Linked DNA regions of Ovis aries. The protein of the gene in region 2 purifies or fractionates together with the protein of the main gene of each other region. This does not show direct contact. Links are inferred from orthologs where the notes say so. Each region holds a gene or a part of one and is shown on either strand. Other genes may lie near its edges. The genes, in order: PSMC1 and UBLCP1.

Region 1 (4,386 bases), on a different chromosome or scaffold from region 2:
TCAGGTCCCCGTCTCCTGTCCCCCATCTCTGTTTAAAGTCCATCCTGGTTCAGGTCCCCCTCTCCTGTCCCCCCATCTCTGTTTAAAGTCCATCCTGGTTCAGGTCCCCCGCCTCCTGTCCCCCATCTCTGCTTACAATCCATCCTGGTTCAGGTCCCCCTCTCCTGTCCCCCCATCTCTGTTTAAAGTCCATCCTGGTTCAGGTCCCCCCTCTCCTGTCCCATCTCTGTTTAAAGTCCATCCTGGTTCCGGTCCCCTCTCTCCTGTCCCTCCATCTTTGTTTGAAGTCCATCCTGGTCCAGGTCCCCCTCTCCTGTCCCCCCATCTCTGCTTACAATCCATCCTGGTTCAGGTCCCCGTCTCCTGTCCCCCAATCTCTGTTTAAAGTCCATCCTGGTTCAGGTCCGCCCTCTCCTGTCCCCCCATCTCTGTTTAAAGTCCATCCTGGTTCAGGTCCCCCTCTCCTGTCCCCCCATCTCTGTTTAAAGTCCATCCTGGTTCAGGTCCCCCTCTCCTGTCCCATCTCTGTTTAAAGTCCATCCTGGTTCAGGTCCCCTGCCTCCTGTCCCCCATCTCTGCTTACAATCCATCCTGGTTCAGGTCCCCCTCCGTGCCCCCATCTCTGCTTACAGTCCATCCTGGTTCAGGTCCCCGTCTCTGCCCCCATCTCTGCTTACAATCCATCCTGGTTCAGGTCCCCCTCTCCTGTCCCCCCATCTCTGCTTACAGTCCATCCTGGTTCAGGTCCCCGTCTCCTGTCCCCCCATCTCTGTTTAAAGTCCATCCTGGTTCAGGTCCCCCTCTCCTGTCCCCCATCTCTGTTTAAAGTCCATCCTGGTTCAGGTCCCCCTCTCCTGTCCCCCATCTCTGCTTACAATCCATCCTGGTTCAGGTCCCCGTCTCCTGTCCCCCATCTCTGCTTACAATCCATCCTGGTTCAGGTCCCCCTCTCCTGTCCCATCTCTGTTTAAAGTCCATCCTGGTTCCGGTCCCCTCTCTCCTGTCCCTCCATCTTTGTTTGAAGTCCATCCTGGTTCAGGTCCCCCTCTCCTGTCCCCCAATCTCTGTTTAAAGTCCATCCTGGTTCAGGTCCCCCTCTCCTGTCCCCCATCTCTGCTTACAATCCATCCTGGTTCAGGTCCCCGTCTCCTGTCCCCCATCTCTGCTTACAATCCATCCTGGTTCAGGTCCCCCCTCCTGCCCCCCATCTCTGCTTACAGTCCATCCTGGTTCAGGTACCCATCTCCACCCCCCATCTCTGCTTACAATCCATCCTGGTTCAGGTCCCCCGCCTCCTGTCCCCCATCTCTGCTTACAATCCATCCTGGTTCAGGTCCCCCTCTCCTGTCCCCCGATCTCTGCTTACAATCCATCCTGGTTCAGGTCCCCCTCTCCTGTCCCCCGATCTCTGTTTAAAGTCCATCCTGGTTCAGGTCCCCCTCTCCTGTCCCCCGATCTCTGTTTAAAGTCCATCCTGGTTCAGGTCCCCCTCTCCTGTCCCATCTCTGTTTAAAGTCCATCCTGGTTCAGGTCCCCTGCCTCCTGTCCCCCATCTCTGCTTACAATCCATCCTGGTTCAGGTCCCCCCTCCTGCCCCCCATCTCTGCTTACAGTCCATCCTGGTTCAGGTACCCATCTCCACCCCCCATCTCTGCTTACAATCCATCCTGGTTCAGGTCCCCGTCTCCTGTCCCCCATCTCTGCTTACAATCCATCCTGGTTCAGGTCCCCCTCTCCTGTCCCCCCATCTCTGGCTCTGTCCAGGCCGCCTTATCTTACTGGACCGCTTGTCTCCCAACGGAGGTTTCCAGGTCTAAACTCTTCCCTCGTCCATTTGGACATTACCTTCTACAACAAAGAGCTGACCCTCTGAATCGCCTCAGAAACCTTCAATTGACCCCCAGCATTTACGGCCTAATGTCCAAACTCTCTAGCTTGGCACGCCTGGCCCTTGCCAAACTGGCTTCAGTTAACCCTTCCCAGGTTTGTCTACCCGTCCCATGACCCTCCAGGTCTGGCCCCACCGGAGGACATTTCCCGGAGTCAGTCCCCCACTTCTCCATGTCTGGGGCTTCACAGGATGTTTCTCAGCCTCAAGTAACTATACGTATTGTACTGAACAGCAAGCGCTGTGCTAAACAAACAGATCCGACTAAGTTGCCGCTATCATCACCCTAGTTTACAGAGAAGGAAGCGAGGCTCAGAGAGGTTAAGTGACTTGCCAGCTGTCACAAAGCTGGTCCGAGAGACAGCACGCTCCCGGCCTCTGGACCCCGGCGTCTGTGCTGCTCTCCTGCACGGGCCGCTAGCCCAGCACCGCACACCCGCGGGCCCCGCCTCAGGTTCCTCCTTGGTAAACTGAGGATAACAATAATTACCTCCAGGGACTGCTGAGAATAATTTCCAGCAAATGCTGGAAAAGTACTTGCCATGTGCTTGTCAGGCCCAGAATACTGCTACCCAAAGTGCTTCCAAGGCCTGCCTGAGTCTGCGGTGGAGCCCGCTGCTGCTCACCACACAGACCAAGCCTCTCCCCCTCAGCCCTTGGCTCCAGTCCTCCCAGGACCAGTCTTCCTCGGGTATCTGCACCGGCTCCCCTCTCACCGGATTCAGGCCTCCCCGCCTCACCGAGGTTCGCTGACGCCCTGGCTAAAACAGCCACCTCTCCCGCCCTTGCACAGAGCAGCCACAGCAGAGGCCACTCGCCGCCCCCGTCCCGCCCCGTCCCAGTAGCACACACTCCTCTCTCTCTCTAACCTGCCTTCTGGAGAACGCCAGCTTCAAGAGGCCAAGACTGGGTCGGTCGGGCCCGCCCTGTGTGTGCAGCGCCTGGAGCGGAGCCTGGACCACCCCCGGCCCCCCCCCCACCAGCCACCAAAGAGCGGCATCAACCGGGAGCAAAGAAACCATCGCGAGCCAAGCGAGGCACCGAGGGCCGTCCGCTCCGGGCGCCCCGACGCGCCCGTCCGCCGCCCCCGCGCCGCGCGGCCCCTACGACCCGCTCGCACCGTCCCCTCCGCCGCGCGGCCCCGAGCGCTCGGCCCGGTGGCTCGCGGAGGCTGCGGCCGAAACGGCCGGCTCCGAGGGCAGCGCCCGCCCGGAAAGGGACGAGGCCAGCCCGGCCGAGCCGCCCCGCCGCCCCCGGGGCCCGCCCGGCGCCGAGCCCCGGGCCCGGGGAAAGGCCGGCCGGCCCGCCGAGGTCCTCGACGCGCTCCCCAGGCGCCTTCGTGCCTCCCCGGGGACCGGGGCGGGCAGGCCCGGTGCCTCCGGCGGCGGCCGGCTCCCCTTGCCGCGGGCCGCCGGCACCCACCGCCACGGCCGGCCGAAGCCCTTAGTCACTCACCATCTCGCCCCGCCGCTCCCGCCGCCGCCGCCGCCGCCGCCGGAAGTGCGCCGCCGGGGCGGAGCGTCAGGGGCGGAAGTTGCCGCGACGCCACGGAAGCCGCCAGGGGCCAAATCTCGCGAGGGTCGGCTGCGCCCTCTGGGTCTGCGGGAGCGGACGGGCGGGGATGCTCGGACTCCCAAGCGAGACGCGGGCCTTATTGAACTTTCACTTGAAAAAAATGTTTAAATCGCAGTTATTAGGTTATTGTCAACAAGTTAAGACAATGACCTCGACTGTCAAAGGCAATTGCGAAGATAAAAACGATTTTAAAGAGGCCAGAATTAAACAGACCTTGCCTTAACTTCTCCAGGAACCGGAGTGGTCTTTGGAACCGCGAGGTTGGCATACACTTTTGCAGCAGCATTTCACGTCTGATATGGTCTCTGGAATTAATCTGCTCATCTGAGAAGTTGTCTCATGAAGCGTCTGAATCTGGTGGTTTGTTTTTTTCCTGATGTCTTGTGACATCTGGTCAAAATGCCAAATGTCCTAAAAGTCCTCATCTTGCCCCGGGATTGTATCCTTATTTATTACATCCATCAGGACATCAGAAAGAAACAAATCTGGGGCTTCCCTGGCTGTCCAGGGGCCAAGACTCCCTTCCAATGCTGAGGAAATAAGATTCCACATTCAGTTCAGTCACTCAGTCATGTCCGACTCTTTGCGACCCCATGGACTGCAGCACACCAGGCCTCCCTGTCCATCACCAGCTCCCGGAGTTTACTCAAACTCATGTCCATCTCACTGGTGATGCCATCCAACCATCTCATCCTCTATGTCCCCTTCTCCTCCCACCTTCAGTCTTTCCCAGCATCAGGGTCTTTTCCACTGAGTCAGCTCTTCGCATCAGGAGGCCAAAGTATTGGAGCTTCAGCTTCAGCATCAGATCCCACATGCCACCCTGCCAAAAATATTGAAAACATAAAACAGAAGCAGTGTTGTAACATTCAAAACAGCCTTTAAAAAAGAAAATAAAGATGGCAAGCAGCCTTTTAGTCTCC
Region 2 (3,815 bases):
TAGCCTATGCCTTCTCCAGTGGATCTTCCCGACCCAGGAATCAAATGGGGGTCTCCTGCATTGCAGGCAGATTCTTTACCAAATGAGCTATTAGGGAAGCCTTGTTTATTAAATCTGAAATAAATAATGGCCATTTACCATTTGTTTAATGCTGTGCCTAAAACACTTCAGTTCTAGTTTTTGAAACTATTTAACCAATTACTTACTTGCATAGTGCTACCTATGTGCCAGGTAGTATGTGACTTACAAAAATTAACTTACTCCTCATGAACCTTGAGTTGTAGGTAGTATTAGCATCCCTATTTTACTGATGAGGAAACCTAGGCAGTAAGAGTCAATTAACTTTCTAAGGTTAAATAGCTAATAAGTGGGATTCCTGAACTCCAAACCCAGGTAATCTGACTCAAGAATTTGTGCTCTTAACAACTCCCTGTCCTACCTTGCAAATGGTAAATGAACATGAATGGTCCATCATGGAGGAACTTGCCTGCAGCATAAACCTGATCAGAGAGGGAGAAATATGTAGCTCATGATTGCAGCTTTCCAAACAGGAATAATCTGATAGAATATTAGAGGGTTGTAACTAAGCTAAAATTTGGGAACGTGGAGGAATTTTAACTTTGACTCCTAATAACTTTTGGTGTTCTGATAACATTTCTATAAGTAGAAAATCCTGTTTCTCGACTATCAAGATGTAAATTAGGACTCAAAGGATGCAGTTTATAAAGCTTAGAGCTTCGATACATCTTTCTAAAATTTTTTGTTGAATATAGTTGCTTTGCAATGTTGTGTTAGTTTCTGCTGTATGACCATCTTTGGTATGTCTGTTTCAACACGTATATGGCTTTCTTTCTAGGTATCTTTTTCAGAAGGAAAGCTGCCTTATCATATGTTTCAAGGATGGCTCTTCCTATCATCGTAAAATGGGGTGGACAGGAATATTCAGTGACCACACTTTCGGAAGATGATACTGTGCTGGATCTCAAACAGTTTCTCAAGACCCTTACAGGAGTGCTACCAGAACGCCAGAAGTTACTTGGGCTCAAAGTTAAAGGTAATTTTCTCCCTTCTTCAAATTTATTGCATTGATATATTTGTAAATCTTTACATTAGCTATTATCAGTTCACCTTAATAAGTCTTTCCTCCTGGAGGTTTCTTTAATATCCCTTAAATTATTTTAGTGATACAAGTAAGAATATTTAAGAATACTTGGAAATAACACCACTATTAAGATTACTTTTGATTTCCTCTGACAGTTGATGTTTGCTTGTTAAACCTTGGACATGAAAGTCCCAGGTAAAGAGTGTAATTTGTAATATCTGTCTTCTAGTACAGTCTTTTCATTACAGCTTGGGCCTTTTACTCTCTCCAAATTAACTTTTCTCTTTTGAAAGTAATAACAATTTAGAAATTATCAGCAATGTTCATATTCATTTAAAAGGTACTTTTAAGGTGTTTGTGTTTGTTTTATCAGTAAAGAGTGAGTTCTGAAAAGCAGTAAATCTACAGTTATCCTAGGCACTCAATTTTCAGGACTTTCTGGAAAACAGTTATCTTCATCTTGAACAACAGAATAAGAATAAAACATGAGTTTATTTAGTTAGTTGAATTAAATATGTTCCTCTAAGATGGAGTTGGGGGAAAAAAACCCAACCTTGTATTAATCGCTTTTCATAGTGTGTTAGAAACTGCTAATTCAGCAGTAATAGTTTATTAATTTAAGGGAAAAGAACCTGCTGTGGAATCTTTTAATGTTAGGGTTTTATATAATGGGATAGTGAAACCAGCACGTGAACTTTAGTGAGAAAACAGTCATTTGCTTGTATTGTAGGCAAACCTGCAGAAAATGATGTTAAGCTTGGAGCTCTCAAACTGAAACCAAATACTAAAATCATGATGATGGGAACTCGTGAGGAGAGCTTGGTAAATGTTTACTTTTGTTATATTTGTCCCATTGAAGATGCGTGCGTGCTTAGTCGCTCAGTCATGTCCGACTCTTTGCGACCCTATGACTGTAGCCCTCTAGACTCCTCTGTCCATGGGATTTTTCCGGCAAGAATACTGGAGTGGGTTGCCAGTTCTTCCTCCAGGGGATCTTCCTGACCCAGGGATCAAACCCACGTTTCCTTCATTACAGGTGGATTCTTTACCACTGAGCCACTGAGGAAGCTCTCCCTTTGAAGATATTATGATTTATATCACATTGTTACATCATAGTTTTAATTGTGGTAAAACTGTCAGTTTAATAGTCAACAGAAAGTAAAAACAGTGAATGTGGTATTAACTCAGCAGAAAGCAAACACTGGGCAACTTGTCAGTGTACACAGGCAGCTTTTTATAGTAGTAGTGATAATGGTGAAATTTAACGTGGTATATCTGTCCAGTGAACATACATAAAATGTGGATGTTTTCCCATAGCGTGTGCTTGCAAGACTTTTGGACTCAATTTGTACCTCTTAATTTTTTATGCTATGCATTTATTTGTTATGTTAAAAAGAATATGGTAAAGCAATACTGTTTTTCGTCTTAATAGGAAGATGTCTTAGGTCCACCTCCTGACAATGATGACGTTGTTAATGACTTTGATATTGAAGATGAAGTAGTTGAAGTAGAAAATAGGTGAGTGCTTTTCATCATCAAAGGGAATTGGTTGTAATACAAGAGAAAGTAAATCTTTCGTCTGATTTTATTTTTCATTAGGGAGGAAAACCTACTGAAAATTTCCCGCAGAGTAAAAGAGTACAAAGTGGAAATTTTGAATCCTCCCAGGGAAGGGAAAAAACTTTTGGTACTAGATGTTGACTATACATTATTTGGTAAGTCAGCTGAAACTGTGCTTCATCATCTGTTACCCGTTAACAGCATTTTCCCCTTTTGTTTTTTCCTTGCACTATGAATTACTTAAAGCATTTCTTTTTATTTTAAAAGTAAATCATTTATTGCAAGCAAAAAAAGAAGTCATATGTAATCCCAAGATCCAGAGATCTTTTTTTATGTGTTAATTTCCTGGATGTTTTTATGTATATCCTTTTCATGTTTACTTAATGATATGGTCAACATTTTAGTCATTTTGTATTCATTGTGAGTTAAATATATGTATTTTTTGGTCTGGTGATTTTCTATGATTTTATGAATCTGTGATAATTTAATAAAGCCATTACCTATTTATTAATATTTTATGAGGATTATTTAAAAATCATCTTTGATAGTTTATTCCTGGTTTTCTATTATGTTCAAGACAGATTCTTGAATTTAAGAATTTGACATTTGATATTTCATGTCAGCAAAAAAAGATGTTCATTTCATCCTTTAATATTGCCAGAAATAATTGGATAACTCCTGACATTAAAATGAGCATATTTACCTCTAATCCTAACCTTTAAGTACATGTCATAAGTTAGTGTACATTTATTTTAAAATTTGATTAGTAAATTAATTGAATCTGTTATTTTGGTGAAATATGATTGTATTTGGAAGGTGAATGGCTAAAAAGTGAGTATATCTGGCCCTAGTTTGTTTTTCATATCCTAAAATAAGATCTATGTTTTAGAGATTAGAAGAGAAGAAAACTTACTGTTTATTATATAAGCCTGAATTCTAGGTATTGGCTCTTTGCAGATTGAACAGAATTGATTAGTTAAAGTTGGATTGCAAGAATACTGAATTGTGTGCTTTGAAGATGTCCCTCTGTCAGCTGGTAGAAGTTAGTCTGAAGTACTTAGTATTTTGAGTGTTTCTGTTATATTTCAGAAGTTTAATCTATATTAGATATTTGTCCATGATAATAAACTAATCATCATCTCTAACTGATTTT

Evidence for each region.
Region 1: the proteins of UBLCP1 (region 2) and PSMC1 purify together in Homo sapiens (affinity purification with mass spectrometry; 3 studies listed by BioGRID and IntAct, with this or other methods). This does not show direct contact. The link is inferred for Ovis aries from reciprocal best matches to the Homo sapiens genes UBLCP1 and PSMC1.

The regions. Positions count from the first base shown.
Region 1 is NC_056060.1:99,907,328-99,911,713, reverse strand, and holds the start of PSMC1 (26S proteasome regulatory subunit 4), read right to left. Parts: upstream 2,992-4,386; 5' UTR 2,911-2,991; coding exon 2,758-2,910; intron 1-2,757.
Region 2 is NC_056058.1:68,436,170-68,439,984, forward strand, and holds part of UBLCP1 (ubiquitin-like domain-containing CTD phosphatase 1), read left to right. Parts: intron 1-856; 5' UTR 857-900; coding exon 901-1,054; intron 1,055-1,832; coding exon 1,833-1,924; intron 1,925-2,534; coding exon 2,535-2,620; intron 2,621-2,701; coding exon 2,702-2,817; intron 2,818-3,815. UniProt on the Homo sapiens protein: Dephosphorylates 26S nuclear proteasomes, thereby decreasing their proteolytic activity. Recruited to the 19S regulatory particle of the 26S proteasome through its interaction with 19S component PSMD2/RPN1.